Elephas maximus indicus: one gene and its partners. The protein of the gene in region 3 interacts with the protein of the main gene of each other region in a pairwise test. Links are inferred from orthologs where the notes say so. Each region holds a gene or a part of one and is shown on either strand. Other genes may lie near its edges.

Region 1 (8,239 bases), on a different chromosome or scaffold from region 3:
CTGTAGGCTCTTTATTATACTCCAAGATACTTATAATTGTTCTCTTATATCAGTTTGTACATAGACAATGACATATTTCCCAGTTTAAGCTTTTGAGAATTGTTAACAGATTTTCAGAGAATCCATGTTTCTATATTCTCTAAGGGTAGTCCTGAAGGTTAGTCAAATAATTGTGACTACATTTATGACTGTATGGTGTACATTCTTTACAGTTTTAAAATCACCTGTTCAATTCTTCTCTTGAATAAAGTGGCTTAAAGGAAGTGGAGAGAAGGAAGAAGTATTTTGACTCATTTTCCACCCCCAACCTGAAAGGTACTACAACACTCATTTAACCAGGGGTGACATATTTCATTATACTTTATCCTCTTTCCTCAAAGCCTTTATTTTAAGGATCTGACGCTAGAATCCAGACCAAGAATAATTATTGGCATTCTCTAAAACAAAAAAAAAAGTTTAGTCTTTTTGAAGAAGTTGGTACTTATATATACGTTACGTATATTTTCAAGAGTATTACAACGCAGTGAAGTTTTATGTGTCACAGCCTTCTCACCACATTCAGGAAGCAAGTACATCATGGTTGAAGATGTTTAAAAAGAAAAAAAAAAGGGGGGTGGACTGGTTTATTCCCACTTTAAACAAGAATTATGCTACTACCTTGATTTTTCTTATACTACCTACCAAAACTCATGATATAAATCTACTATACAAATATTAACTAACTTGATGTTTTTCTTAAGAATCAGCAATTGGAAAGATAATTTTGGAAGTAGTTCAGATATTTGCCCACTAATACGTAATGAAAGTGAATGGCCCACCTATAGCAGTAAAGTAAAAAAAAAATTAAAAAATAAAAATCAGGGTTTCATTATTCCAAATATTTCAATAATTTGCTGTTAAAACTCTGCTTTTGACTCTTGAACTAAAGATAACATCCCAAACCAGAGATAATCTGTACAATGAGTTTAATCTGTTTTTCATAGTTGCGCAACTTTACTCAACAAAGTATTTCAACTTATCTGCAATTTGGATAGTTTTTAGATGCCTGAATACGCTGATTTGCTCACTCTTGTTTTGTTCGGTTCAGCGTTGTGTAATGAGCTCCCCCACAAAAAAAAAAAAAGAGCAGAGTAAGAGGCAAGGGGGAGTAATTAAACATGGCATTATCTAGAAAGTTTTTCAGTAACTTTTAAAAGCTCATTCCACACCAAATATACTTTTTATCTAGCAGATTTCCCATAGAAACATTCTGATATCATCTGTAGGTTGATTATCCTTCCACTTCAATAACAGCTAATGTAAACGTAGCAACCACTGAGGGGCAACCACTGACTGGCCAAGGACGTCAAACACCTCATAGGTCTGTCAGACACAGGCACAAACAATCACACAGAGCTCAATCTCATTTTTTTATTAAATGGTCACAGGAAAATTAAAATCCCTTTGTTTTCTGTGAAATCATGTACACATATTAACCAAATAGATAACTTTTAAGTATCACAGGACAATAGTGAAGACAATTAAGAAATAAAATACTGAAAAGCTAGATTGCCTCTGTACACCGAGTAGAATAGCATGCTGAGAGAATAAGACACACATGGTTCGAGGATTTTGGACCACTGAAAAAGAAGTGTACCAAAGGAGTACTAGACTGGGTGACAGTCAATACCTAGACTCTAAATCCCAGCCTGGGCAAAACACTTTATTTCAAGTAAATTCTAATCTGTTTTTTCACCTGTAAGTAAGAAAACCCACCGCGGTGGCTTCGATTCCAACTCATAGAGACCCTACAGGACAGAGTAGAACTGCCCCATAGAGTTTCCAAGGCACACCTGGCGGATTCAAACTGCTGACCTCTTGGTTAGCAGCCGTAGCACTTAACTACTATCCCACCAGGGCTCCCCTGTAAATAAGAGGGGACAGTTATTTCTAAAACATCTCTTTCCATTCTAAATTCCATGCTTCTAAGAGTATATGCGAAAAAATGGTAATCAGTTAAGAATGCATGTTAATATCTAATGCAAGTAACATTTAAAGGCACATAAATTAATCCTAATTTACTGTGAGAATACTGCACATGCAGAACTGCTGAATTGGTGTTTTTGCTGTGTATATTCTCAACAATAAAAATAAATAAAATTAAATTAAAAAAGAAAAGATGGAGAAGAAGCAATAAACAATGAATACGTCTTAAAATATTCAAATTCTATTCCCATGTTTGTGGGAACTCTCTTTCCCTAAAATAATTTTTAGGCCTTGTTGGAAGAACCTCTTTATGGGTGAAAAATACTGCAAGCCTTTTAAGCATCCAAGTGATGTTTAAACGATTTCCTTTAGCCATATGTTAACTGCCCTAACTATCGCTGTCATACGAGATGCATTACAGAAAAACAAGAACCTTTTAAGACGACTCCGAGCTCTAAATTAAACAACTGGAAATAACATTACGACGAGATGTCTGAGCACCAGAATATTATGAAGCAACTGTATTTGGTCGTAACTCAATATCGCTCATTAACTTTCAACTATTCATGTGTATGAGTGTTTATAATTCCATATCTGAAAATTCATTTCCTCAGACTGTGATTTGTGCAGTTCAAGAGGATGTTTATAAACAGCTTTTCTGGCAGACAATCTAGTCGTTTAAAAACATTACTTCAGCAACTTTGAAAAATATCCAAAAAAAAAAAAAGTAACACAGCTTCCTCGCCTCCACACGTGATTCAAGTAACCATTAAATTACCAAATGAATTTATTTTCCTGACGCGACCGTGGTAACAAAAGAACGTACCCGGAGGGCTCACGTTCCGAAACCTGGGGAAGCCCAATTCAGCGACGTTAGCTAGTGATGCAAAGGCTTAAGCTCCATTGTACACCTGACCCTGGCCACGTCCCCCAGCCTTCCTCCCCTCCGCTGCCGCCCGCCGCCCGCCGCCCGTCCGTCCATCCCCCGGCGGCCCCGCCGCACGTCCCCATCCCTTCCCACGTCCCCTCCGCGGCCCGCTCCGCCCACCCTCTTCGCCCTTTCCTTCCTCCCAGCGCCCCAACGCCCGCCTCCTCCAGGCCTCGATTGGCTCCGCTTCAGCGGACGCACCACAGGTGGAAGCGCCTCGTCTACCAGCTCGCTGGGCGTCCCAACCCTCGTCTCTTCCCACCCACCTGCACTCCCTAACCCTGAACAGAAGCAGGACCCAACTCAATATCCGAGAAGGTAGAAGAGACAGGCGAAAAGGGAGACAAGAGCACCTCATCTTGACAGGTGAGGGGAGCCGTCAGTCACCTGAACATCCTCGGCCTTAACCAATAAGCTGCCTTCTGGTCCCCCTTACCCCCCGCGCTAAGCTTGTGGTGGCGGCCAGACCAGCGCCTCCTCCCCCATCCCCTTTACCAATCCCGCCGGGCCAGCACTCACTGTTGAGGCCGGCTGGCGGTGGCAAAGGCGATTCGCCTTCCTCGCAGTTGTTGTTGTTGTTGTTGTGCAGGGGCGGCGGCTGCTCTACTAAATTAGAAGACATTGTCAGTGGCTGTAGGAGCTGCGCCCGCTGCAGGACCGTCTGTGGCTCTCGGGCAGCAGCACAACAAGCCGAGTCCCCCGCCCCCTTTCCTGCGCGTGCGCAGACCCTCCCCCTGCTCCTGACGTCAGGGCCCGCCCAGGACACGTGATAACAACACAGCCAGCGGACGGGGCGGCGGGAGGAGCCACGGACGTGGAGACGCTGGAGTCAATCTGACGCGCGCGCCAGGAATGAATTGTTGCACGTAATAATTTGTACTGACCCAGTGGGATGAGTTATGGTGATGGCCCTGGGGTAGAGGATAGGGGGAAGTCTGTAATGAGGAAGTGTAACGTGCCCATGTATTAGCACCCAAATCTCCCACACCTACTGGGTCAATATTGTTTTATCCAATCTGTGAGCATTTATTTTTTAATGTCTGATAAGGACTCAGTTTTGTAATAAGTATTGTGGTGACAAAAAGGAAGCAAAAAACCTTGTGCTTCCCCGTCATACCCTCAAGTAAAACTGGTGAAATATAAACACCCCGAACAGGGAACAATGTATGGCAGTCCAGACTTTTTTGTTCCGGGTCAATAACTTAAATTTTAATTACAAACGTAACACGCAATTGTTGTAAGAATAGCTGGAAAATTTCAGGAAAAGGTAGAGAATAATCACCCAAATCACCTAGCTTAGATAGATAGCTGCCATGGGGTTGACCACCTTCTGTCAGTTTGTTATAATGTGGCTTGGGTGTTGCTATGATGCTTGAAGCTATGCCAACGGTTTTCAAAATACCAGCAGGATCTCCTGTGGTCTAATGCTTCCAGAAAAAGACAGATTAGGAAGAAAGGCCTGGCAATCTACTTCTCAAAATCGGTCAATGAAAACCGTATGGATCACAATAGAACTGTCCGACTTCCTTGTTTAGACACGTCATCAGGAGGGATCAATCGCTGGAGAAGGACTTCGTGTTTCATAAATCACCGGGCCAGTGAGGGACAGGGAGACCCTCAGTAAAGTGGATTGGCACAGTAGCCACAATAATGCACTCCCCAGCCATCAGTTGTACGTAAAGTTGCCGTGAGTTGGAGTCAACTGCATGGCAGCTAGCTAGCTAATTTATCTCTGCAACCTTATTTTATGTAAAGACATGTATCCTGTGTGTGGTTGATACTGAACTACTTTATGTTACTGAATATTCTAACTTCTTCATATTTCCATGTCCTCATCTAATTTCTTTGTCTGATTTATGTGTGGCATACATTTTTTTCAGTGTCTTGTCACTTGTGTTTTAACATTGTTTCACCCTGAAGATATCTAATCCATCAGTCTTAGAAGGCTTGGAGAGACCTTCACCAGGATTATAGAAGTAGTTCTTTATAACATTTTCTAATTCTTTTATAGGTTTAGTTTTTACATCTGAAATTTGTTTTTGATATGTTGTAAATTACTTAACTTCATTTTTCCCAATGTAACAGTCAAGTGACCCAAAAACATTTATTAATTTGAAAACAATCCTTTCCATGCTGACTTGAAAATGCACCTTTATAAAGTTCTTCATATGGTTTTGAGTTACTGTTTAGTGTTCTTTCATTTCAGCCTAAAGACTCTCTTTAACATTTCTTATAGGCCAGGTCTACTAGCAACAAACTAGCTTTTGTTTATCTGGGGATATGTTAATTTCTCCTTCATTTTTAAAGGGTAGTTTTTTTCCTTTAGGACTTTAAATGTCATCCCACTGCCTTATCTCCATGGTTTCTGCTGAGAAATTGGCTATTAATCTTATTGAGGATACTTTGTATGTGATAAGTTGGTTCTTGCTGCTTTCAAGGTGTTTATGTTTGTCTGTTTTTTTGTTGTTGTTAGATGTCATCGAGTTGGCTCCCACTCATAGCAACCCTATGTACAACAGAGCAAAGCACCGTCTTCACAGTCGTCGTTATGCTTGAACCCATTGTTGCAGTCACTGCGTCGATCCGTCTCATTGAGGGTCTTCCTCTTTTTTGATGACCCTCTCCTTTACCAAGCATGATGTCATTCTCCAGGAACTGGTCACTCTTAATAACATGTCCAAAATACACGAGATGAAGTCTTGTCATCTTCACCTGTAAGGAGCATTCTGTCTGTACTTCTTCCAAGATACAGATTTGTTTGTTCTCGCAGTCCATGGTATAGTCAATATTTCTCGGCAACTCCATAATTCAAAGGCATTATTTCTTCTTCAGTCTTCCTTATTCATTGTTCACTTTCACATGCATATGAGGTAATTGAAAATACCATGACTTGGGTCAGGTGTCTTAGTCTTCATGGTGACATGTTTGCTTTTTAACACTTTTAAGAGGTCTTTTGTAGCAGATTTGCCTAATGCAGTGCTTTATTTGATATCTTGACTGCTGCTTCCATGGGCATTGATCGTGGATCCAAGTAAAATGAAATCCTTGACAACTTCAATCTTTTTTCCATTTTTAATGACGTTGCTTATTAGTCCAGTTGTGAGGATTTTTGATTTCTCTGTGTTGAGGTGCAGTCCATACTGTAGGCCGTAGTCTTTTATCTTCATGAGTAAGTGCTTCCAGTCCTCTTCACTTTTAGAAAGCAAAGTTGTGTCATCTGCATATCAGAGGTAGTTAATGAATCTTCCTCCAGTCCTGATGCCACTTTGTTCATATAGTCCAGTTTCTTGGATTCTTTGCTCAGCATATAGATTGAATAAGTATAGTGAAAGGATACAACCCTGACACACTTTTCCATGCAGTATCCCCTTGTTCTGTTTGAATGACTGCCTTTTGGGCTATGTACAAGTTCTTCATGAGCACAAGTAAGTGTTCTGGAATTCCCATTCTTCACAATAGTATCCATAACTTGTTATGATTCACACAGTTGAATGCCTTTGCATAGACAAAAAAAACACTGGTAAACATCTTTCAGTTATTCTCTGCTTTCAGCCCAGATCCATCTGATGTTGGCAATGATATCCCTAGTTCTGTAACCTCTCCTGAATCCAGTTTGAACTTCTGGTAGCTCCCTATCACATCTTGCTGGAACTGCTTTTGAATGCTCTTCAGCAAAATTTTACTTGTGTGTGATATTGTTTGATACTTTGCGCATTCCATTGGATCACCTTTCTTTGGAATGGCCACAAATATAGATCTCTTCCAGTTGGTTGGCCAGGAAGCTGTCTTCCAAATTGCTTGGCATAGACGAGTGAGCACCTCCAATGCGCAATCAGTTTGTTGAAACAACTCACTTGGCATTCCATCAATTCCTGGAGCCCTGTTTTTTGCCAGTGCCTTCAGTGCAGCTCGGACCATTGGTTCTTGATTATATACTACCTCCCGAAATGGTTGAACATTGACAAATTCTTTTTGGTACAGTGAACCTGTGTATTTCTTCCATCTTCTTTTGATGCTGTCTGCATCGTTCAATATTTTCCCGTAGAATCCTTCAGTATTGCAAACCCACGTTTGAGTTTTTTTCTTCAGTTCTTTCAGCTTGAGAAATGCAGAACATGTTCTTCCCCTCCAGGTTTTTGCACATGTCATTATAATACTTTTTCTTCTTGAGCCACACTTTGAAATCTTCTGTTCAGGTCTTTACATCATCGTTTCTTCCATTCACTTTAGCTACTCTTATGTTCACAAGCAAGTTTCAGAGTCTCTCCTGACATCCATTTTGCTCTTTTCTTTCTTTCCTGTCTTTTTAATGACCTCTTGCTTTCTTCATGTATGATGTCTTTGATGTCATTCCACGACTCGTCTGGTCTTTGGTCATTAGTGTTCAATGAGTCAAATCTATACTTGAGATGTTCTCTAAATTCAGGTTTTTATACTCTAGGTCATACTTTGGCTCTCCTGGACTTGCTCTAATTTTCTGCAGCTTCACCGTGAACTTGCATAGGAGCAATTGGTGGTCTGTTTTGCAGCTGGCTCCTGGCCTCGTTCTGACTGATGGTATTGAGCTTCTCCATCATCTATTTCTACAGATGTAGTCGATTTGATTCCTGTGTATCCACTGGGCAAGGTCCATGTGTATAGTTGCCATTTATGTCGTTGAAAAATGTATTTGCTATGAAGAAGTTGTTGGTCTTGCAAAATTGTATCGTGTGATCTCCAGCGTCGTTTCTTTCTCCAAGGCCATATTTTCCAACTACTGATTCTTTGTATGCCAATCACCAGTAATTATCAATCCATCTTGATTGCATGTTTGATCAATTTCAGACTGCAAAAGTTCGTAAAAATCTTCAGTTTCCTCATCTTTGGCATTAGTGGTTGGGACATAAATTTAAATAATACTTCTATTAACTGTTCTTCCTCATAGGCACATAGATATTTTCCCATCACTGACAGTGTCGTACTTCAGGATAGATCTTGAAATGTTCTTTTTGATGATGAATGCGACAACATTCCTCTTCAATTTGTCATTCCTGGCATAGTAAACCATATGATTGTCCAATTGGAAATGGCCATATCAGTCCATTTCAGGTCACTAATACCCAGGATATAGATGTTTATGTGGTCCATGTCACTTTTGATGACTTCCATTTTTCCTAGATTCGTACGTCGTACATTCCATGTTCTGATTATTAATGGATGTTTGCAGCTGTTTCTTCTCATTTTGAGTTGTGCCGCCTCAGCAAATGAAGGTCCGAAAAGCTTTACTCCATCCACGTCATTAAGGTCACCTCTACTTTGAGGAGGCAACCTTTCCCCAGTAGTATATTGGGTGCCTTCCAATCTGAG
Region 2 (8,714 bases), on a different chromosome or scaffold from region 3:
CAAGGCTACCAAACTCTGCAGTGATACTTCTCAACCCTGGCTATGAAGGAGGACTAGCCTGTGGTGCTTTTTCAAAATTTTTCAGAAGCCCGGCCCCACCCTCCTCTGAAAATTCTGATTTGGAATGCTGGGGTAGAGCCCAGGCAAACAGATTCTGAAGAAGCTAACAGCGATGTAGGCCAGGGTTGAAAACGATCCACTAGGGAAATGACAAGCACACCAACAATTTACAAAACAGTGGGGTAAATGTCAGAACAGAGGGATGTCCATGATGTTGTGTGGCATTACAGAAGAAAAGCTTGAGGCAGAAGGGCGGCTAAGACTGGAGAGAACCAAAGCTACCAAAATCACACAGAAGGCTTCTTCCCTAGGAAAAGTAGGCTCTAGGAAATTGCTCTTTTTATATTTAAAAGCTTCTCACGTTATCTGGAAGAGGTACAAAAGAGACTCAACTGACAAATACTTTTGAACATAAACCCAACTGGTAAATGATTCAGGTGACTGGCTTCAAACAGGAGTTGGTTCATCTCAACCTTCATTTTGTTGGGCTAGTGCTGTGGAAGGCTCCAAAAGCACTGTGCTGGCATTTCATGGAGAGTCCTTGATGTGCCCTTAATTATTGTTGCCTGCCTTATTTGTAAATTTCCTCCTAAATTTATCTGTCACTTAATCTCTGGGTCTCATTTTGACCATATGTAAAATGTAGGTTGGGTTAGAATCTAGACCTTTGAAATCCCTTCCAGCTCTAAAACTGCAAGATGCCATAATTTCTCTCCAAGAGAGATACAAATTCTATTTCTTGTCATACAGGTTCACCCATGATGGGTTGCCTATGACAACAGAACCATCCGACTAGCTGCAGATACAGCATTAAGTGAAAAGCTGGGAGCTTGTGGCATTAAATTCTGCTTTCTCAGAGCAAATGTTCTCTCGAGAAGCTCTGCTTTGAAATGTGTGGGTTTTTCTGGGGAGTAAGTCATGCACCACGGCTACCCCCACCCTGCCCTAAATGCTACTGGGGCACAATATTGTCACAAAATTCTGTCTCCTTTGTGCATAGTAATATACCTAAGGAGAAAAAGAAATGCAAATTCAAATATCCCCCGAGTCAAAAGCTTTGACTGGAAAGGACCAAGGGGTAAAATGGGAATGGATCAATCAGTTTTATTATCTATTCACTCCTCTGGGAAGATATAAGCCTAGGGGGAGATGTTTGCTGTTCTGTCTATGGGTTTGGCTACTAAGTTCCTCCGTTGTCCCTTCAGAGGTAAACATCAAAAACACCCCAACCCACTGCCATTGAGTCGATTCTGACTCAGAGTGACCCTATAGAACAGAGTAGAAATAACCCATAGGCTGTAAATCTTTACAGGAGCAACTGGTGGGTTTTGAACCTCCAACATTTCGGTTAGCAGCCGAGCACCTTAACTGCTGTGCCACCAGGGCTTCTGAGAGGTAAACAAGAGGTAATCCAATCAGAACAGAGCAGGACAAGCGCTGCCTCAGCTGCACCTGATTCAAGCCCAGATTCCCATTTGTTAGGGCAGCTCTATATTCCCACGTGACTCACTGGGCTGGATGGCCAGCAAGTGTCCCGCTGCACGTACACTCAGGGAACAGCCGAAAAAATCTTTACATGAGTTTCCACTGTATGTAACCATCTTTTTATAGAATAAGCAGAACAAAAACCTTTTAACTCCTGAACTGGCCATCCTGTGTCACCAAAGACTCAGCAGTGTGGTTTATAAGACAGCCAACAGGCAAGCTAACTGCCCCTACCCACCCCCCATGCGACTCTTCCAGAGACTGTAAATTTGGGGTCTGATGGTCTGAATCAGTAAGTAAAAGATTCAATGTCAGAAATAAAATAGTTTGATGGTTAGAAAATCGGTGATTTCTGGGCAAAAGATGAAGGCAAACATCCCTGGGATCTTATGAGAAAATACAGAGAGAAAAAAACAAACTCCATCTGTTTCAAAGAAGGAATTAGTCAATATTTAACTTTAAAAACAATACTATGAATTACAAGATTTTTTTAAAGTGTGGTTGTAGTTTTTAGATACATACCATACAATGCATTAGGCTAATTAAGTGTTGCCCAGTAAATTCTTGTTTTCAGAACAAATGAAAATTTAATTAGCAGCTCAGTAATTTATATGAATAACCGAAGGGTTTGATCAGAGGTTTCAACAGTCCTCTCCAAAGCTTATTTACATGCTCGTTTTGTTTAGACAACTCTTGCTTCAGAGAGTACAAGGGTCAGCAGACACCAGTCTCCTAGTCCAACTCTGGGGCCCCCAGGATCATGTCAACAGGGCCAGAAGGAAAGAGGCCAGTTGCCCCAGCGTTGCCCTGGTGGCGCGGTGGTTAACTGAAAGGTCAACCGTTGGAACCCACCAGCTGCTCCGTGGCAGACAGATAGGGGCAGTCTGCTTCCGTAAAGATTTACAGCCTTGGAAACCCTATGGGGCAGTTCTGCTCTGTCCTATAGGGTCGCTGTGAGTCGGAATGAACTCACAGGCAACAGGTTTATTATTTTTTTTAACCCAATATTGGCCTAAACTATTAAATGTTAAAACTATTAGGTTCATCCGTTAAATGGTGATTTTACTTTAAGGAGAAATTTTAAGTTGGCCTGAGCTGGAGAATTTAGACTTGTGGTCAGCTCCTGACCCCAGATTCATTCCGTCCCCCCCACCCCCGCCTTCTTGGAGGCCGAGCAAGCTTTGGACCCACCCTGCAGACTCGGTCGCCAATCAGGCCCCTGGCGCCCCAGAGGCAACTCCAGCCACACCGCCCGCCGCGGGGCTCCGCCAGCGACGCCCGGGGGGGGGTCAGGACGGGCCGCCCACCCGCCAAGGCGGTTTCCAGCAGGGCCTCTTTTGAACGCGCCGGACACAGTTCGTAACTGGGGGCGCTGGGCTGATAACACGCCGCCTGGCACTGAAGCACAGCTCGTTCCTGCCCTTCGACGAGCCACAACCGAAGCCCACCCCGGAGCACCAGATGGCAACTACGTCCACTCGTTAGCAAAGCCCACTGCGCACCACGGCATCTCCTCGAGCGGCAAACCTGCGGGGTTTGCCTTTCGCTAGCCGTCCCTGCCCGGCTCGGAAGCTCCAGGACACAAACCCCACCAGAACCCCGCGCCCCCGAGGGCTGCAAGTCCTTAACTCCTGCAGAAACCGGGCGGCCCCGGGCCGCACTCCCCGGCCCCCTCGGCCGAGCCTCCCCCGAGCCCCGCTGCCCCGGCCCTCTGCCGAGCCTCCCCCGAGCCCCACTTCCCCGCCCCCTCGGCCGACTCCCCCGACGCCCCCACACACACTGCGCCCCGACTTCCGCGCCACGCGGCCTCACCCTGCAGGTTCTCCTCCTGCAGCCCGGGGACACCGCTCTGCGACATGGCGCCGGAGAGCGGCTGTGGCCGGTCGGGTCCACGAGCCGGGCTGCGGGTCGCGACGGCGCCTTAGGCCGATGGGCTGGAGCCGGGGGAGTGGGAGTCGGCCTGGCCGCTTGCACAGCGCGTCTCGCAGGTTCCTGTTGCGCCGCCAGCTGACGGACTGACGGACTGACGGACTGAGTGCGCGGGGCAGGGCTGCCACGGACTCAGCGGCTGCGTCGCTGATTGGCCGCGGGGCGGGGCCTGCGCGCGTGCGGCGCGTGCGGCGCGTGCGCGGGGGCGGGGGCGGGGCGGCAGTCTGAGGCGCGGGCGGCCTCTATCCGGGTCCTGCGCCCGCGATTGCGACAGCCTGAGGTAAACAGGCGGACGGGCGGCGCGGCTCCCGACGGGGGCGGGGCGGGGCGGGGCCGGACGGAGCGCCGCGGAGCCACGTGACCTCGTGGCCGCGCCCGTTCGGTTTGGGCTGCGACGCCGGCGCCTGAGCGGAGGGTCGGGCGCGTGGTTGGGGCGCGTGGTTGGGGCGTGTGGGGCCGCAGGCGGTGCGCGAGGCGGGCCTCGAGCTGTTTGGGGTCCCTGCTCCCCAAGGAAAGCGGCAGCAGGGCAGCAAACGCTCGCCGCCGCGGTAATGGCCGCGCTGACTCCCACCGCCCTCTCTGGGCCAGAACTAGCCGTTTCCCGTGTTAAGAGTGTGGAAACTGAGGCACAGGTAGGGCGAGCAACCTGGTAGTGACTGCAGCTGAGTCCCAGGGTGCGCTGCCGACCGCGCAGGGCCCCGACAGCCCACCCTCGTTCACCGGGGAGGAAGGAGGCCCAGAGGTGAGGCCCAGGTCACCCGGCGGCTTCTGCCAGCCTGTCAGGAGCGGAGCTGTAAGTGTCGCCTGAAAGGGCTTGTCCCCAGCTATCAGGCGGGGAGGAAAGGGGCTGTGGAGAGAGGTGTCCGGGAGCCGCCGTTCCTCTCCGACCATCGGTCGCAGCCTGCGGGTCTCCATTCGAGTACTCCGGCCGTTCCCGGAGTGTTCTGGAAGGCCGCGATCCAGCGCTGCGTGGACAGAAAGCAGCTTGCTCACACAGACACGAATTGTAGAGTCCCTCCCAGGAAGCCCCTTGCACACACCAACTCCTGGCTGGTGCCTCCCCCAGTGCCCCCAGGTTCCCCTACTGGGAAAGCTGCCTTCCCTGGGAATGCCTCCTGCGCGGGGCCTTTCCTAACCCCCACCGCAACACACACCCCTGTCTGCGGCACAGGGACTTTGGAATGTCCCAGCCGAGCAGGACTGGGGAGTACCCATTAGCCCCCCGTCCTCAAATGTATGCCTCTCCACTCAGTCTCCTCTCCCTCTCCTCTGGAAGTCCTTCACTTGTGTCCACCCCCAGGCCATTTCCCATCTGTCAGCCCCTCCCCTGGAGCCCTGGTGGCCCAGTGCTTCAGCGCTGGGGCTGCTAAGGAAAGGTGGGCCTGTGGAACCCATCCAGGAGAAAAGACCTGGTGGTCTGCTTCTGTAAAGATTACAGCCGAGGAGACTCTATAGGGCAGTTCCACTCTGTCCTATAGTGCCTGCCTATGAGTCAGAATTGATGCCAGCGTGCACAACAGTGCCTCCTCAATTCCCTCCAGCAATCTGTGAGTAACATGTACCCCATTTTATGACTCTTTCATTGAAGTAAATCTGTTCTCTGTCCCTAAATTTAGGATTCACTAACCCCTTTTCATTATCTCTGTTGCCCTTTACCTCATATATGCAGGTTTTTTTAAGAAATGAATTTGAGATTTTATTTTATATAGCAACAGTGGAGAATAGGACTGTCACTATATGATGGGGCAATAGAGAGCAGGTAGTTGGTGAAGAACCAGGCATTTAGAAGCAGGAATAGAGTTGGTCCAGTATTTGGGAGGAGTCTGTGCTTGGTCCATGTAAGTCGCCAAATATTTTCATTATTGAACTGGGTTCGAAGGCAGGGAGTCCCCAGAGGTGCTGATTTTCTTGAGGGTTGGAATTTAACTTTTGGCAGAGCTATGGTGTAGGGAGGTAGGGTGTAGGGACCTGAAAAGGAGCTAACTTGGAAGAACCAAAACCAAAAACCAAACCCATTGCCATCAACTTGATTCCAACTCATAGTGACTACAGGAGAGAGTAGAACTGTCCCATAGAACTTCCAAGAAGCGGCTGGTAGATTTGAACTGCCAGCCTTTTGGTTAGCACCTGAATGTTCAACGACTGTGCCACCAGGGCTCCAACTTGGAAGAATAGGTTGTAAACAGTGGGTAGTGTGGGGGCAGCCAGAAGACACAAGAAGTTACTTCCAGTTTGGAGTGAACGCAAGGGTAAATAAGGAAGGGCAGTACACCAAAAAATGTTCCCTGATGATGATACTTAAAGGAATCTCTGCTGCAGGTTCACAGGGGGCATCACAAGTGCTGTTACATTATAAGCTACCAGGGGATCTGGCCCTTCCTAAGAAAGAAACTAGCTGAACCAAATGAAACACAGGTAAACAGGTGCAGCTGCAGCGGAAGGACACCCAGTCACTGAAAGGCTCAGAGTAATTAAGAAAGGGTTGAGCAGAGGGAGCTAGAAGTGCCCTAATGACAGATAAGGAGTCCTTGGGTGGTAGAAACGGTTAAGCACTGGATTAGTAGCAAAAAGATTGGCTGCAAACCCACCCGCAGGCACCTCAGAAGAAAGGCCTGGTGATTTGTTTCCAAAAGGTCACAGACTGGAAAACCCAGTGGAGTGCTGTTCCAACAACTCTGCACACATGGGGTTGCCATCAATTGGAATTGATTCAATGGCAACTGGTTTTTTTTTTTTTTCTTTTGGTTTAGTGACAGATGAGGGGAAAGGGGAAGAGGGCCCTAGAATTCTCTCACTAAACCAGCTGGTCTACTAAGAGGAGATTGAAAATGTGAACTTGAAGGATAACTTGAAATGCTACCAGATCTCATGATTCCTCTGCCTTTAAGTGAAAAGGAAAGGTACCCTACCAACCTCCAACTTGAAATTCCTCAGTAAGAGAGACTTTGTCCTGGAGTAAGCAGTAGGGCTCAGAGAGTAATTAATTTAAGGCTTCTTCAGGGGAGAGGAGTCCCTGCACCTAGCAATGTGTTCGCATACCCTTCAGCTTCCTGGCCAGGTGTCTCCCATCCACCTCTTTCCATCATAGCTAAATATAAAATAATTGTTGCAGTATTGCTTAGAATTCTAAGGCAATTATTAATAAGTTATTCCTGAGAAAACCAAATAAACTAAAATATAATCTTACACTAATATACCAGAGGATTTCAATTAGACATCGGGTGCGGGAGAGTCAATGTATGCATTACAGGTCTTGGTTTGTTTAGGAAGGGAAGGTTCTAGATATTGATGTGTACATAGAAAAAGTATAAGCTTAACCATAAATTTAAAGTATAATGATGAGCCCTAGAAGACTAGACATAGGCCCTTCACTTTCAAACAACTTGAGAAGAAAATGAAAAATAATAAGAAAAGGTAAATAGCAAGGATATAAAAAAGGATATAAAAGGTTTGAATAATATAGTTAACAAACTTGATTGCATGTCTATATGTGAGCTTTCATAGCAATACACAGAATACACGTTTATTTTGGTCACCCATGGGTCTTGTTTTCTGTATGGACTGTGTATTGAGTCACTTAAAAAAATGAATTCTCAAAAGTGGAAATTACACACTGTGCAAATGAGTGTACGCTACAATAATTCTAGACATTAGCTACAAAAGGAAAGCTCTCGTCGCCCCCAAAAAATCATTCTAATTGCCACTTAGGAACCTCTTCTATATTTTGTACCCTTTTGTAAAAGAAAAAAATCCAAAGAACTTGCAGTCAATTTAGAAATAAAGGTCACTGAGTAACCAGTTTGTAAATGAGGGGAAGTTTCTCTTTATCGGAGTATTTCAGCTAATAAATTAAGATTGAATGTAAGAATTAAAATATCACTATTTTGCATTTCATTGTTTGTCATGGGTTTTTTTTTTTTTTGAGAGTTCTTACGCTTTAGGGGTACATGCAGAAATATTTATGGGTAAAATATTATATCTGGAATTTGCCTCAGAATAACACAGGACAGGGGTAGTAGATGAAGGTATAGGTGAAACCATGAGTTGAGTATTGTTGAAGCTGAGTAATAAGTACATAGTGGTTAATTTTATTGCATCAACTTTTGTTTATGTTTGATATTTTTCACAATTTTTTTAAAAAAGAAATGGAGGTAATAAAGTTTGATGTGTACCAAAACCTAAATGAGAAGGAAGATGGCTGACTGAACACATTTATTTAGCGTCTCAAAATCCTATTGAAATGACAGTAAAGAAATATAAACGAGAATAAACTCACAGCAGAACTGGAGTTGGTTTCTCAGTGGACCAGAGTTACTAGCAACCTGGAAGAAAAAAATGACAGAAGAGAACAAGAGATGCAGCGACTAGAAGGCAGAGGCGTTGTGAGACCTTAAGTGTACACAGTTTTTAAAAAAAGCTTTCCTGATTTTATAACTGTATGCAAAAAACATTAAAGTGTACAGCTGGGTGACTTTGTCATATGTATACACCCATGAAACCATCACTACAATAAAGATAATGTTTTTAAAAAGTGATGAGATTTTGAATGGGATCGTGTTGAGTCATTAGATCAATCATATCCATTACCTTTAAAAGTTTCTCTTCTCTCAGCGTAATTATTTTGAGATTCAGCAAATGTCACATGTATCAATAGTTTGTTCTTTTTTATTGGGTGTCTGGATGTACTTAAAATTTGTTTATCTGTTCACTTGATGATAGACATTTGGGGTGTTTCTAGTTTTTACCTATTACAAGTAAAACTGCTGTGAACATTCATGTGCAAGTCATTGTGTAGACATGTTTTTTCATTTTTCGTAGATAAATAGGTAGAACTGAAATGGTTAGAACATATGATAGTGTATGTTTAGGTTATTTTGCCAACTGTGTATCTTCTTTAGTGAAGCATCTTTTCAAATCTTTTGCCAATATTTTAATTAGGTTGTCTTATTTAGTTGTAAGGGTCCTTCTTGTATTCTATATACAAGTCCTTTGTCAGACAGTGTTTGCAAATATTTTCTCCTAGTCTGTGATTTGCCTTTTCTTTTCCGTGAGTGTTTTGAAGAGCAACGTTTTCATTTTTGACAAAGTTCAGTTTACTGCTTTTTTTCTTTTCTAGTTCATGCTTCCTGTGTCCTAGTCATTTAGTTTCCTGTGGCTGCTGTAACAAATCTCCACAAACTTGGTGGCTTAAAACAACAGAAATTTATTTTTTCACAGCTCTGGAGGCGGGAAGTTCAACG
Region 3 (7,965 bases):
TTCAGCAACATGCATTCCTTTCTGGAATAAGTTGGAATAATTTGGAATTGCTCAAGTTCACTCAAAGCACTGCTTGCTGTTTGCATCATTTTAACTACACCTTATGGAACTAGGGAAACCCTGGTGGCATAGTGGGTTAAGTGCTACAGCTGCTGACCAAACCGTCAGCAGTTTGAATCCGCCAGGCGCTCCTCGGAAAATTTATGGTGCAGTCCTACTCTCTCCTACAGGGTTGCTATGACTAGGAATTGGCTTGATGGCAACAGGCTTATGGAACTACCTATTTCAGTGTTTAAACAGTAAATTTGAGGTAAGCAATGATAGTATTGTACAGTGATTATAAAAACAAAGAAACAGAATTTGGTCTACTTTAACTGTCATTCTATGTGACCACTTAGAATTTTTATTTATATTGTATAAAATTTTTTGACCTGCAGAGCAACATTTGAAGCCTCTAGAATTGATTCTGAAGGAAAAAGACATGAGCAATCTTGCAATTTCTGAAACTATTGTGAAATAAGAGTTTTATAGATCTCTTGTATCCTTATAAACCTTTTTCCTAAGTTTACGTATATGTTTCTTCAGCAAAATAAACTTTTCAAAATTAAATTGATTAGTCAACGAGAATATATGAAAAATATTAATTTTGACAAAATCATTGACAAATTGGGGAAGGTAAGCTCTAAATCAGAAACTGTAATATTTTTTATTAATGTGATATACATAAATATAGGTGTAAAACTTTCTCCTTTTCCCAGAAGTACATTACTATAATTTAAAAGATTTTACACATATAATTCAAAGTATTTTGTACAATACTATTCATTTTAATTTGTTGAAAAGAAAATGAGGCTCAGATTGTCAGATTCCTCTGAGTGCATAGAAAAGTTGCACAAAGATCATTGACCAATGTGGAATGCACTCGAGAACAGATAGACAGGAACAAAGAGACAAGGTGGCAATACCAAAAAAACAAAACAAAACAAAACCCATTGCTGTGAAGTCAATTCTGACTCACGGTGACCTTATAGGACAGTGCAGAAATGTCCTAAAGTGTTTCCAAGGCTGTAAATCTTTACAGAAGCAGATTGCCACATCTTTCTCCCATGGAGCGACTGGTGGATTCAAACCTAGCACTTTAACCGCTGCACCACCAGGGCTTCTTGATGGCGATATACCCTTGAGTTGATTATGACTTATAGTGACCCTATAGCACAGAGTAGAACTGCCCCCAATAGGCTTTCCAAGGAGTGTCTGGTGGAATTCAAACTGCCAGCCTTTGGGGTAGCAGCCAAGCTCCTAACCACTACCCCACCAGGGCTCCCTACCCAAACCAAAAAATACCAAGCCTGTCGTTGTGGAGTCGATTCCAGCTAAGAGTGACTCTATGGAACAGGGTAGATCTGCTCCATAGAGTTTCCAAGGAGTGCCTGGTGGATCTGAACTGCCAACCCTTTAGTTAGCAGCCAGAGCACTTAACCACTACAGCACCAAGGCGCCATAAAAAAAAAAAAAAAAACCAAACCCACTGCCATCGAGTCAATTTTTGGCTTTAGGTAAAGATAAATCCTTTTCATAATGTGAACTCTGAGTTCACGGTTCACAAATGTTTTGTCACAAAGAGGGTTTGTGTGATTTTATGGGTTTTTGGTTTTATGAATCAGTTTTTTCATCAAATCCCACTGAGAATATGAATTATTATTATTACCTTTTTTTTCTTTTTTTGCCTATTTGGTATTTTGGTTAAGTCCACTTATTTTTCTCCTGTTTCTTACATTAATGTTTAAAAACAAAACCAAACTTGTTGCAGTGGAGTCGATTCTATCTTACAGCAACCCTATAGGACAGAGTAGAATTGCCCCCTGAGTTTCCAAGAAGTGACTGATAGATTCCTGGAACTGCGGAAATTTTGATTAGCAGCCAAGCTCTTAACCACTAACCACAAAGGCCTCCCAAATTAATGTTTAACAGAGAGTATTTTTCTCTGGATATTTAGACCCTCTCCTTTCCCCATCCTTTTAAATGCGGAGGGTTTTCTTATTTTTCCAGTATGTCAAGTTTCGCTGTTCAGTTGTTTGACTGCCTCTCACTGCCATCCAGTGGATTCGGACTCATAGCGGCCCTGTAGGACAGATCTTTACTGAAGCAGACCGCCACATCTTTCTCCTGCTGAGTGGCTGGAAGGTTCAAATCAATGACCTTTTAGTCAGCAGCCAAGCACTTTAGCCGCTGCACAACCAGGGCTCCCAGAATAAAAAACACCAAAGTTTATGTCTATTGCATTTTTCTTTGACAGTTTAGAGAGTCAATTGTTTTTGTGGGATTGAGATTAAATAGAGGAATATAGTCATAGAGAATAAAAGTCATTTCATACAGAAAGACTCTTGTATCAGCGGTCTGCATTGACAGAATAAATCCAGCTTCTCCAATTACTGCCTGGAAGAAGTGTTTCCCTCATCGCTGTTCTTTGGTTCTGTATAGTAGGCTGACCCTCCTGCCTTTAGCCATGATATGGCCTGCTTTCTAAGGGCTCCTTTATAGAACTGAAATACTGAAGAATGTTGGAATTAGACCACACTGCTGCTTTGCAGCACACCTACAAAAAGTTAGTGGAAGTTTAATTTTATGTGTCAACTTGGCTAGACTGTGGTGCCCGTTTTTTTGGACAAACGCTTTTCTAGATGCTTTTATGAAGTAGTTAAACCAAAAAACCAAACCCAGTGCCATCGAGCCGATTCCAACTCATAGTGACCCCATAGGACAGAGTAGAACTGCCCCAAAGAGTTTCCAAGGAGGGCCTGGTGGATTTGAACTGCTGACGCTTTGGTTACCAGCAGTAGCACTTAACCACTATGCCACCAGGGTTTCCGTATGAAGTAGTTACATGTGATTAAATTAGTTACATGCCTCAGGTAAAACAGATTACCCTCCATAATGTGTGTGGGCTTCAACCAATCAGTTAAAGGCCATAAGAGCAAAAAGGGACTTTCTCTTAAGGTGTATTCTTCTTTCAGACTGTAAGTAGACATTTTGCCAGAACCCCTTCACTCTTTATTCTTCCCCATCACCTGACCTATGAATGTTGGTATGTAAGACTGCAGGAATCGCCAGTCTGTTGCCTGACCCACAGATTTTTAATTTTCCAGCCCCCACATCCTGTGAGCAAGCCAATTCCTTAAAAATAAATCTCTCTGCCTCTATTATATAGATACATGTGTATACATAAATATATATATGTGTGTTTGTGAGTATGTATGTATATATATATATGAGAGGCATTAGTGATTCAGTGGTAGAATTCTCACCTTTCATGCAGATCTGAGTTTGATTCTATTCCTGGCCAGGGCAACTCATTCACAGCCAATACCCGTCTGTCAACAGAGGCTTGCATTTAGCTATGATGCTGAATAGGTTTCATGGGGCTTCCAGACTAAGACAGACTAGGAAGGAAAGCCCAGCGATTTACTTCTGAAAATAAGCCAATGAAAATTTTATGGATCACTATGGTCTGATCCTGTTGCATGTGGGGTCACCATGAGTTGGGGTCTGAATCAATGTTAGCTAAAAACAATATCTATATCTACATCTATAAAACCAAACCAAACTCGCTGCTGTCCAGTTGATTCCAACTCATAGCAAACTTACGCCTGTATCTATATGTCTTAATGATTCCGTTTCTCTAGAAAATTGTGGTTAAGACAGGGAGGAACCCACTTATTTACTCTCCAGTGATCTATCTTCCATTTTGATAACATGTTAAACAGATGTGTCCTGCTTTCTACAGTCTTCAAATTCTGATAAATGGATTGGACATCTGTCTAGTTTCTAGAAGTAATAAGTATTTTCCATGTATCATTGATTTAATCATTACTAAGGAAATTGGAAGAGAGGAAAAAATCAAACACTTTGCAGAACATTTCAGTCCCAGAACTCTCCATGAGCTGTTAATTGCTACAGAAATGTACAGAATGGTGAAGGAGGCAGTGTAACCTAACAGAAAGGGCACGAAGTTTGCAGCAGGAGTGAACCTTGCTCTGATTACTTAGTCCACTCTCTTTTATTAACTACTTAAACCTGAGAAAGGGGCTAAATTTTTTCATCTGAAAATAGAAATAATAATACCTACAATATAGGCTCGCTGGAAAACTGAGATTAAATGAGAAAGCAAGTACAATGCACAGTACCTAACACATAGTAATTGTTCAATAAATAATTACTGCTTCGTGTGATTATCCCACGACAAATATCAGATATTTGATCCCTGCTGTTGCTACAATTATGCCCCTCCTAATGGCATCCTTCACACTTTCATCTGTAGGTTTCCTTTGCTAAGCAATAAGCTTCTACACAGGTATTGTTTATCCTTATATTCCCAACTCCTATTGGTTGAAAAGGTGGACATTCAACAAATGTTTATTGAATGAATGCATGAATAAATTAATGAATGTGTAGTCATAATGAAGTCATGGTGAACTCAAGATACCAAGATTGTTTGACAGTTTGCATAAGCCAAGTCATTTAATGATGTCAAAATCAGTTGTGAGAATAATGAAAGCAGCTTGGGACATAAATCTATATATTTTTATTTTATTAGGTCTGAAACAAGGATCTATCTACTATGCTGTGTTATAATTTTCTTAGAATCAGCAGTCTCAGAAATAGGATCTAAAGGTCCGAATGGGAAATTGCCACAGCAGAATTTTCACTTCCTGCTCCTGGGTATCTGGTTGAACTACTCAAGCTCAAGTCGTTAAACCTCAGCGATTGCCCATCCCACATGATTTGACTCATAGGTCCTCTTTTGTCCGTAAGCAGTTGTCTTAGAAGAGAAGAAAGGGCTCTCAGATGCTATGTCTGTCCAGGGACTCAACAGAACAATGGAATATTATTCCAATACAGAAAATTTGGATGAGGATGGATATACTCAATTAGACTTCAACTCTAGAGACAACTCCAGGAGACCTATAGTCTCAAAGAAAGGTAATTTTTCTTTATCCCTTCAATACTTTCATCATCATTATCCAAATCACCGAAGAGAAGAAAATTTGAGACTTGTGATTTATAGGGCTTTTATTAATACTTTTTTAAATGTCAGGTTTTCAGAAGTCACTGAAGATAATTTGAATGTGAGCTAAGTATTTTCTTGTGGCAACTCAGATAATAGCATTCAGTGTCTAATTACTAGTATTTAAATTAATTATGTATGATGACAAAATATTCAGAATTTCTCTTTTCTGTAGGAGTAGACATTTGAACAGTGAGGAGTTGTAATAAATGTGGCAATGAGCAAAAATGAAGGAATTTCAATAAGAGTGGTTTATTGCTTGGTTGATAGAAAGGCATAGATTGTAGAATGGAGGTCAAGGAAACTTAAAGAAGTGTATAAGAACATCAGGATATAGCAGATAAGAAAGCGAATGATAAAAAAAAAAAAAAAAGATGGAAGATCAGTAATGGAAGGCACCGAGGGAAAAAGAATCTGTCATATTCTGGTAAAATGGAAGTCAGATGTAATAGTGTTTATAATATTGATTTGTTATGATTTATGTGATGTGAAATTGATTTGGCTTATTGATTTAATTAGCTTTTAATCAAAGGGAAGTTCTTGATATACCGGTGAAGGAAAATACACATGTTAAAGGAAGAGATTCCTTTAGTGACAAATGAGTCTTAAAATATAAGAAGGTGAAATACGAAGGACATAAGAAAAACCCATCTTTTCATAGAATTAATAATTTAGCCTCCTCTATTAGTTTCCTGGAAACCCTGGTGGTATAGTGGTTAAGAGCTATAGCTACTAACCAAAAGGATGGTAGTTCAAATCCACCAGGTGCTCCTTGGAAATCCTATGAGGCAGTTCTGTTCTGTCCTGTAGGGTCGCTATGAGTTGGTATTGACTTAATGGCAACAGGTTTGGTTTTTTTTTTTTTTTATTATTAGTTTCCTATTTGAAAATCCTATGAAATTCTCTTATTACTTATTCTCAGTTAAAGGCAGAGATAGGTTCTTAGTGTGTCAATGTTAACACAAAATGGGTTCCATGTTATATCGGGAGAGAGATTATTGACAGGTTTTGGCATAAGAATTTGCTCTCTTCTGCTTTCTTGTTAGTCACATTGCACAATTATTTTTGTCTCACCACTTATGTAATTCTTTCCTTGAGCAATCTACTGGGGAAGAGTGGAAAAACTGAGTGAGGCAAGAGGGAGGAAGGCATGCATGTGTTTATGTGTATGCGTGGGCAAACACTGAGTTACCTACAGTGTGCTAACAGTATTTAAACTAGGTGCTTTTACTTATGTAAACCAATGCAATCCCCACAACAATCCATTGAAGTATTCTTAGTCCAGTTTTCAATAAATAATAATGAAAAACCAGAGGGGGTAATTTGCTCAAGATCCTGCAGCAAATAAGTAAAAAGAGAAGGTTCCATATTTTGATTTTGCCACCCTTGGTAACCACTGTTCTTTCCCCTACATTAAGCTCCCTGCTTAAGGAATAAGTGGGATTTCAGGATTCCTAGCAGTGACAAGACCTGTAGCTGACTTTGTGGAACTGAAATTAAGAATGGATACATATCAAAGCACTGTGCCCAAATTACATGTCCAGGGCTTGAAGAGGCATGCTAAAGGTGTATAAAAAATTAGGCTAGTACTAGATGATTAGATTATCTCAAAAACAGTGACTAATGAATGGTTCACTTTGGAATTTGCCAGATTTTGATGAACTGTAGATTTAAAGAGCCTCACAGTCCATCAGGTGTAGTGGTTAAGTGCTACGGCTGCTAACCAAAAGGTCAGCAGTTCGAATCCCCCAGGCACTCCTTGGAAACTCTATGAGGCAGTTCTACTCTGTCCTTTAGGGTCGCTGTGAGTCCGAATCAACAGGTTTGGCTTTTTGGTTTCTCAGTCCATCATTCTAGTCCTTCATTCAACTTCTTCTCCCTCTGGCTCCTCAGGAACTTGTGCTGCATCTCCTCGTTGGTGTGTCATTGCTGTGATTTTGGGGATCTTATTCTTGATAACACTGGTGATAGCTGTGGTTCTGGGCACCAAGGGTGAGTACTGTTAGAGGAGATTAGCAATAATGCATACTTTCAATGAACATTCATTACATGCCAGGCACTTGTTTAAAGGTTTGACATACATAATTTCATTTAACCCTTACATTAACTCTATTGAGTTGGTACTATTAATCCCCATTTTATTTATAAGTGAATTGAGAGATAGGGAGGTAATTTTACTATTCTAGGGTCATGGTGGGGCCATGATTAAAATTTAGATAGGCTGTCTGAGAAACTCCGAGTCCATGGGTTCCACATCAGTGGATTCAACCAACCACAGATTGAAAATATTTGAAAAAAATACAAAAGAAGAAGGAAGGAATACACGGACTCACTGTACCAAAAAGAATTGATGTTCAGCCATTTAAGGAGATTGTATATGATCAAGAACTGATGTTACTAAAGGAAGAGTTCCAAGCTACACTGAAGGCATTGGTGAAAAACAGGATTCCAGAAATTGATGGAATACCAACGGAGATGTTTAGAAAAAACGTTTTCAGTGCCAGAGGTGCTCACTCATCTGTGTCAAGAAATTTGGAAGACAGCTACCTGGCCAATCAACTGAAAGAGATCCATATTTGTAACGATTCCAAAGAAAGATGATCCAACAGAGTGTGGAAATTATGGAACAGTATCATTAATATCACACACCAGTAAAATTTTGCTGAAGATCATTCAAAAGCAGCTGCAGCAGTATATCGACAGGGAAGTGCCAGAAACCCAAACCAGATTCAGAAGAGATGTGGAACCAGGGATATCATTGCTGATGTCATATGGATGTTGGCTGAAAGCAGAGAATACTAGAAAGGTGTTTACCTGTGTTTTATTGACTATGCAAAGGCATTTTACTGTGCGGATCATAACAAATTACAGAGAACATTTCCAAGAATTGAAATTCCAGA

The links. The genes of interacting proteins can lie anywhere in the genome.
Region 1: the proteins of CLEC7A (region 3) and BNIP3L interact in binary tests that used the Homo sapiens proteins (3 or more experiments, as listed by UniProt). The two-hybrid records come from large-scale screens. The link is inferred for Elephas maximus indicus from reciprocal best matches to the Homo sapiens genes CLEC7A and BNIP3L.
Region 2: the proteins of CLEC7A (region 3) and BNIP3 interact in binary tests that used the Homo sapiens proteins (3 or more experiments, as listed by UniProt). The two-hybrid records come from large-scale screens. The link is inferred for Elephas maximus indicus from reciprocal best matches to the Homo sapiens genes CLEC7A and BNIP3.

What each region holds. Positions count from the first base shown.
Region 1 is NC_064840.1:47,146,293-47,154,531, forward strand, and holds the start of BNIP3L (BCL2/adenovirus E1B 19 kDa protein-interacting protein 3-like), read right to left. Parts: upstream 3,606-8,239; 5' UTR 3,516-3,605; coding exon 3,413-3,515; intron 1-3,412.
Region 2 is NC_064834.1:81,713,883-81,722,596, forward strand, and holds the start of BNIP3 (BCL2/adenovirus E1B 19 kDa protein-interacting protein 3), read right to left. Parts: upstream 3,606-8,714; 5' UTR 3,404-3,605; coding exon 3,358-3,403; intron 1-3,357. UniProt on the Homo sapiens protein: Apoptosis-inducing protein that can overcome BCL2 suppression. May play a role in repartitioning calcium between the two major intracellular calcium stores in association with BCL2.
Region 3 is NC_064822.1:67,381,445-67,389,409, reverse strand, and holds the start of CLEC7A (C-type lectin domain family 7 member A), read left to right. Parts: upstream 1-4,772; 5' UTR 4,773-4,850; coding exon 4,851-4,980; intron 4,981-6,958; coding exon 6,959-7,057; intron 7,058-7,965.